Xenopus tropicalis: one gene and its partner. The protein of the gene in region 2 purifies or fractionates together with the protein of the main gene of each other region. This does not show direct contact. Links are inferred from orthologs where the notes say so. Each region holds a gene or a part of one and is shown on either strand. Other genes may lie near its edges.

Region 1 (3,827 bases), on a different chromosome or scaffold from region 2:
CCATCATACTATTCTGACTGACAAGTTCTCGATGCAAATATAAACCTTTACACTCTTTGCCTTCCAGCATGCATCCTCTGATGTTGAGAAAATGATCCTAGGAAACAAATGTGATGTGAATGAAAAGCGACAAGTTTCCAAAGAGAAGGGTGAAAAGGTAAGAGTTATTTAACAGTTTTGGTGTTCTGATATCTGAGCTTAAAACCCATTAAGCTGTGAATAGGTAAACGAGCTATGAGGTCCTGTTTGGGTACATTTAAAAATATATGAAAAATAAGTTTCCAAATGCTTTATAACAATAACCAATCTTTAGCCCTTTTAAGTAGAAGAAAACTCTGAGCATTACTCTGCCAGGGCATAAAAATAGTGCATATCCACTCGCCAATCATCCCCCCCCCAAAAAAATATATATATATTATATATATATATATATATATATATATATATATATATATATAATTTATTTATTTGGCTGGTGTCACATGTGCTTAATGTAAGTGCTCCTGTAGTCCAAATTAGACTTGACATATTAAAGGAAGAATGAAGAGAGGAATGATGTTGTCAGTGGGATATATGTGCAAGGATATTCAGGGCAGGGTCATGTTAATACATGTTAACAGTTTTGCATAAAATAAATATGGTGTTGGGCAATGGGAAAGGCTGAGCAATTGTTTCTCAGTTTCCTTGGACTTTAATTTAAGTATTAACCTCAGGAAAATAGAATCTGGTGCATTTTTTTGTTCATATAGTTTAGAATATTACCCAGTATGTAGTAAGGTGAATATTGAAAGAATGAGGCTAAAGGATAGAGACATAAGAATGTGGTGCATTTGTTTAAAATATTTAGAGAAAATATAGAAGCATATCCATTACCAATTTTTTTTTTTCTGCCTCAAATAACTTCAATAGCCAGCACAAAACAGCATGCACTCGTCGGACTCCAGGACAGCGGATAAAAATTCAAAAAAGCTTTATTAAGGATAAAAACCTAACGGTTAGGTTTTTATCCTTAATAAAGCTTTTTTGAAATTTTATCCGCTGTCCTGGAGTCCGATGAGTGCATGCTGTTTTGTGCTGGCTATTGAAGTTGAATCTCCCCATGCTGCGGGTCTGGGGCATGGCACCCGGGCCACCAAAAGGAAGTGGTGAGTGAGCATCCTGCATTTTGAACTTACATATGAGCATAAATTCCCCAGAACAAAGAGAGAAAAAAGTGATAAGCGAAAGGTTTGCGGCATAAGCACCCGAACCTACTAATTAACTGGGTGAGCGCGAGCGCTAATTGAAATATAAATCAGTTTTTTTTTATCTGTAGTGGGAAGGACTGTGAGCCCCCGAACAAGCAAATAGTACAGTGCCTCAAATAACTAGCAATATCACTGTTTGTATTTCAGCTGGCCCTTGAATATGGAATTAAGTTCATGGAGACAAGTGCAAAGGCAAATATCAATGTGGAAAATGTAAGTAGACTGAACGTGCTTAATTCAGTAAGCGGGGAGAGTAATGTTCATTGGTAGACACCCTTAAAGGAACAGTAACACCAAAAAAATTCAAGTGTATGTACTGCTGCTCTGCACTGGTACAACTGGTGAGTTTGCCTCAGAAACACTACTATGGTTTATATAAAGAATGCAGCTGTGTAGCCATGGGGGCAGCCATTCAAAGGAGAAAAGGCACAGGCACTTAGCAGATAACAGAAACACTATTGTATTCTACAGAGCTTATCCGTTATCTGCTATGTAACCTGTGCCTTTTCTCCTTTTTTCCAGCTTGAATGGCTGCCCCCATGGCTACACAGCAGCTTATTTATATAAACTATAGTAGAGTTACTGTAGCAAACACACAACTTTTACCAGTGCAGGGCAACAGTACATTATATTTCTTTTACTTTAAAACTCTTAAATTTTTTGGTGTTACTGTTCCCTTAACAATCAAAACAGGTTAAAGTGAAGAGTGGTCAGCAAACAATATAGTCATAGGTTTTCTATAGTCAAAAAGGCAGTGGGTGTTTTATAGAAGTCCGAGCATTTTTCTGCAACTTTCCATATTCTTTCGTATCGGCAAAAAAAAAAGAAAAATCTGTAGTGCTGTGTAGTGAGAAAAAACCACGCAACATGGTACTGTACCCTGTGCCTGATGGCTCTTCATTGATGCAATCATTACCCAGCACTATAGGACAACCAATGGGGCACCAGAAAACGCCGGGATATTTTTTGGGGTAGAATGTTAACTCCCAATATTTATAACAACCCTTCCATATGGCCTTTTTGTTGTCTGTTTTGCCTTTTTAACCCTTTGTGCAATGGACTTAGTAACAGTTCCACATGTCAAAATAGAGCCCTGAAACATAGAATCTATAGTGTTGGTATGATACTTTTATGCGGACACAATAGTAGTTCCAAAATGGAGGCCCAAAGCTGCATCTAAGTGGGTCCAGGTTATGGTAAGATTTGTGGAATACCTATGCAAGTGTATGTATGAATATGAGTTTAGGGGGCCGTAACCAGAAATAATAACCTATATGTGTCTGATCTTTGTGTGTTGTGATTTATGTATGTATTTATTCCTGGAGAATCTAAAATAAATTTTTGTATGTTTTTAAGAAACCTCCACTTTTACTTCATGTTTGGGGTCAGTGTTTTGCCAGTGTTTTCATCTTTCTATATAGAGATACAAAGGGGCACATTTACTAACCCACGAACGGGCCGAATGCGTCCGATTGCGTTTTTTCCGTAATGATCGGTATTTTGCAATTTTTCTGAAAATTGACGCAACTTTTTCATAGCCATTCCGAATGTTGCGCAAAATGTTGCGATTTTTTCGTAGCCTTACGACTTGCGCGAAAAGTCGCGACTTTTTCGCAGCTTTCGCGCCGAGTACGAAAGATTCAGATTCATTCAAGCTTCAGCATGGTGACTTTTCTTGGGCCAGGTTGGAGCTGCAGGGTGCCATTGAGTCCTATGGGAGGCTTCCAAAATCATGCTAAGTCTGAAAGTTTCGCCCGCCGCTTACGAGCGCTCAATACGAAAAAGTCGCGACAAGATACGAGCGAATCGTAATGGCTACGAAAAACTCTCGTTTTTTCGCGCAAGTCGTAATGGTTACGAAAAAGTTGCGACAATTTCCGAAAAGTCGTAAAGGCGACTAAAAAATCGCAAAAAATACGAAAAAGTCGCAAAATGTTCGTTTTCCAGTCGGAATTTTTCCAATTCGAATTCGTGTCTTAGTAAATCAGCCCCAAAGAGTGTTTATTGTTGTCTAGTACTTGTACTATATAGGCAAGAGATTAAAGGAATCACCCACTCATAGTATTGCTTTTGATATCAAGTTCTTCTATCTTTTCACAGGCATTTTTTACATTGGCAAGAGACATCAAAGCAAAAATGGATAAGAGGATGGTAAGTATAAGTATTTAATGGCTGCTTTGTGCTCCTGTGCCAGATATTGGTACTAAAAAGCAGGTATTTAACACTTAATTTCCCACACTGGTCTGGGTTTCATAGCTTGTTCTTCCCTTTATTCTAATGAGGGTTGGAGTAGAACTTCATAGACTGGTATGATCAAAGAGAGCAAGCATTTTGCCTCAACTTGCTATTGATTTAACAAGCTACTGCTTGTTGATACTATAGCTCCTTATTATAAAGGCTGTAATAGATGCTTGCTTCATGAGATTTGATTGCTTACTAATATGTATCACAGGTCCTCCATTTTGGGAGTTTGATTATCTAACATTCTAACACAACACTAAGGGCTGTGGCACACAGGGAGATTAGGTGCCCGAGACACATCTCGATTTTCGCCAGCGACTAATCTCCCCGAAATGCCAT
Region 2 (3,827 bases):
CTAGTAGAACGGACAGCTTATCCTCTCCCCACTCATCTACTCGAATAGGTGACCTTTAAAAATGTAAGTTCTTGTGTGCAGGTCCATACAATCCTCCTGTCTCATTCTACAACTATTCTTTGTTAATCTAGTGTAAACCCTAGCAAGATGTGCTTTCTTTGTACAAATTATTGCTCAAACACGTATTCATTTACCTAGAGCGTGCACCCACATATAGTTTTAGCTTTAATATCAGGGGAATTTTGAATTTCGAAATACCAGCGCCTTGTCTTAAATTTGTGGAAAAAATTACATGAAAATACATGAAAGGACCTAATACAAAAAATCTAAGGTTACAACCTAAGGAACACACCCTAATGATCTGCCACCCACCCACCAGGCCCTGCTGTCCAACTATGAATCAGGGCGGCCACTCATCCCAACAACTCAATGACAGTCTGTTTTCTCTCTGCATACTGTACAGGGGACCATTGTGGGGGGTAGGAAAAGAAATGCTGCCTTTATTCACTGGTTGTTAAAGCTTGTTAGCACTCTCCAACATATGATTCATTAAAAAACAATAGAAAAAAAATGATAATGTATCTTTATGTACCGGACACACAGGCATTTGGCACACAGATCAGTATCAAACAATTTGTTGCTCTGGCTGTCAGAAGCTCTATTGGTAGTGAACAAAATGCTCAAAATCTCCACTCACTGATTTGTATGGCAATCATCTGCCAAGGGGGCACTCGTTCAAAAAATACACCATTCAGCATTTCCTGACCAACAATCACCTTACAGGCAAGTTCACCCACCCACAGAGGCAACTGTCTTTCAAGTCGACAGGGGAGGGTGGCAGGGATTATAAGCATTTTGTTCCCTGTCCAAAGACCTAAAAATTGCCCCAGTTACAAAATGCTTTCTGTTTGCAGTTGCCCACAGAATCAGGTAACATTAGTTGTGCTGAGAAGGTTATTAAAGGGGTAAATCACCTTTATCTTCAGATGCAACATACAAACGTAATGTGTGCCATAAGGACACCCTGGTCAAGAAGAGAAGGCAAAAAAGCATGTATGTGTTAGAAAACAATGTACTTTAGTCAGGCAGCCAATAGTAAAATGTTGAAAACTATTGTTACATACATGGGTAAGGTGCATTGCATAAGGGATTAAACAACAAGTAACATGAAGACAAAGTGAAACCAGAGGAAATGAGGGCCTCTGAGAGTTCCTTACATGAGATCTGGACGGTGCTTATGTAATATGGCACAAAATGCTAATCCATCACGGAACGAGGTGGTCATATTAGTGATGCTGACATCTCGATAGCCATCACATTGCTGCTTGCACCACTGCTGGAGAGCTTTTATGGCCGCCATTCTGCTGGGAGGAAAGAAACAAGAAGCCAGCTGACATTAATGTTTGAGGTTGTAACTACTAAAGCTAAAAACTTGTTCACTATAACTGCAGTTTTGCCTATGCAAAGTCATTAAAGGTCACAATTCGTACACTTATTTACAATGAGACACTATACATAGTCACAGTGTTAATTTGGGTTGGAAAAAAAGACAATAGTCCATAAAGTTGAAAGCTTGTGTGCTAATTCAAAATATTTAACAAATGAATGAGTAAACCAAAACTATGTGGCATACACAGTGTCAAATACCTATGTATCATTACTTCTGCACCCACATATTAAGGATCCTGGAACTCAGTATCTCTTTGGGATGAATTAAGCAGCACAGTTATAGGCAGCCAAAAAAACATGGCATCAAAACATGGTACCCCCTACAGTGGCAGGCACATGCTCTTAAGGTGATTTCAATGAAAGTCAAGCAGGAGGCAGATTCTGACACTTTGGCAACTTAAAAATGTGTCTCTCAAACCGCTCGTTGTGCTATTAGACTAAGGTAAATGCCACACATGGCTGGTTTTCATCCTGCATTTATCTGGAGCCACTGCATCAGCCTAGGTGCAGGCACACAGAGCACATTTTGGTTCCAAAATGCATACTTTTGGTTCTGAAATTCGCTCCATGTGCCATCACCCAGCCTGAGGCAGTGGCTCCAGGTACAGTCACAGGATTAGGCAACCACAGGCCCTGTGTTTAAATGCTGGCTAAAAATCAGCCCCTTGTGGCATTAGCCTAATGGGCAGATTTGTCAAAGGTCAAGGTTGGAGATTTGTGTTTGATAAAGGGAGATTCCCCTTGATTTAAGAATAATATGCTAATTATATTCTAAAAATTCAAGTTGCATATTCTGGTTTGGAGATTTGGATATTTCATTTTTCTACTCTCAAAAATTCAAATATTTCAGGTTTTTTTTTCCCAAGATGTCATCTGACTTTTCAAATGGGTTAAGATCGCATGGAATACAGGGATTGGAGAAACCCCACCAAGTTTAACCCATCTAAGGTCTTAAAGAACAAGGAAAGGGTAATGCACTGGGGTGCCCATAGGTTAGGCACATGTACTCAATCAATGTTTTACCCCCCTGGTTCAGAAAAACTGCCCTAGTCACGGCCTCTTTCTTACCTAGCTCTGCCATCTTTCCTTTATTTCCCAAGGCTGCCTTGCAGCTACAAATTCCCAGACTTGTGCAAGTGCCTAATGGTAACATTTTTGACGTCAAATTACTGAAAAGATGGCAGTGCAGCACTAGGCATGAAAGTAAGTGAGTAACTCTCCCCTGTCATACCTGAATTGTGTAAGTTTTCATAAACAACCCCTCATTTCTGATTATTGTATTATCTAATATAATAAATAACCCCCTCTTTGGTCATTCCTTTATACACTGACAGACACTGTGGTTACTTCAAAAACAAAAAAATAAACCACATCCTCAAATCAGTACTCATACGGCTTTGATGTTTTACAACTGGGATTTTAACACTGTTTCACCAATGGCAAAATGATTACCATGAAACATAATACTATGATTTAATAGCATTTGAAAAGCAGACTGACAAAGAATTGCTGGCAGAAAGACAAATAAAACAGCTAGGGCTATAATCACTTTTACAGTGCACCTGCTTTATGGATTAAGCCCGTACCAGGGAATGTAATGAAATCTGATGAAATGCTCGATAGACAGAGCAGGAGCACTGCCTAGTCACAGTATGAGAAGGCACGGCAACATAGAGAAGCCATCTATAGCAGGTGTAGTTATAGCTGGAGTCAGCCTGGACTGGCAATCTGTGGGTTCTAGCAAATGCCAGAGGGGCTGCTGTAAGATGCCATAGACCACTATGTCTATGGCATGTGGGCTGGTGGGGAACTGTGTACCTGAAATGCCCGGCCCTATTTTGAATATCAGTTCAGGCCTTAGGAGACTGGCCCCTGTTAAGTGATTTTACTTCTGTTTTAAATAAAATGGTTAGAAAGGTGCATATTGATGTTCTAGAGGGATAAAGTATCAAACAGAACCATAAATGAAATAAGCTGCCCCTGGATTCTAATTCACTCTCTTGCCATGTCCCATAGTGAATGCTATATATCTGCCAACCTTTCCACTGACTGTCACCACTGTGGTCCATAATGGATTCCACTACCGCTGTGCGTTTTAAATAACATAACTTATTCCTTACAAAACAGACAACATGCCCCATTTGTGCTGCAAATGGTTTTAGCCACAATGAATTCCCCCCCCCCCCATAATTCCTTAGTATTTGCTCCAGCAACCAATGCATTAAAATAAATGTAATCGGTGTTGTGTGGTTTTACAAATTGGGCGCACATTTATGTTAAGGTGGACAATATTGTGCTAATGCATTGCAATTGCAATGAAGGGGATAGGAAAATTTAGAGGGAGGACCGCATCAATGAGCCGATGTGGTCCCCAATTC

What was found.
Region 1: the proteins of micall2 (region 2) and rab8a purify together in Homo sapiens (co-immunoprecipitation; 3 studies listed by BioGRID and IntAct, with this or other methods). This does not show direct contact. The link is inferred for Xenopus tropicalis from reciprocal best matches to the Homo sapiens genes MICALL2 and RAB8A.

Annotation. Positions count from the first base shown.
Region 1 is NC_030677.2:104,435,907-104,439,733, forward strand, and holds part of rab8a (ras-related protein Rab-8A), read left to right. Parts: intron 1-67; coding exon 68-157; intron 158-1,394; coding exon 1,395-1,460; intron 1,461-3,347; coding exon 3,348-3,398; intron 3,399-3,827. UniProt on the Homo sapiens protein: The small GTPases Rab are key regulators of intracellular membrane trafficking, from the formation of transport vesicles to their fusion with membranes.
Region 2 is NC_030685.2:29,658,752-29,662,578, forward strand, and holds part of micall2 (MICAL-like protein 2), read right to left. Parts: intron 1,365-3,827; 5' UTR 1,361-1,364; coding exon 1,218-1,360; intron 1-1,217. UniProt on the Homo sapiens protein: Effector of small Rab GTPases which is involved in junctional complexes assembly through the regulation of cell adhesion molecules transport to the plasma membrane and actin cytoskeleton reorganization.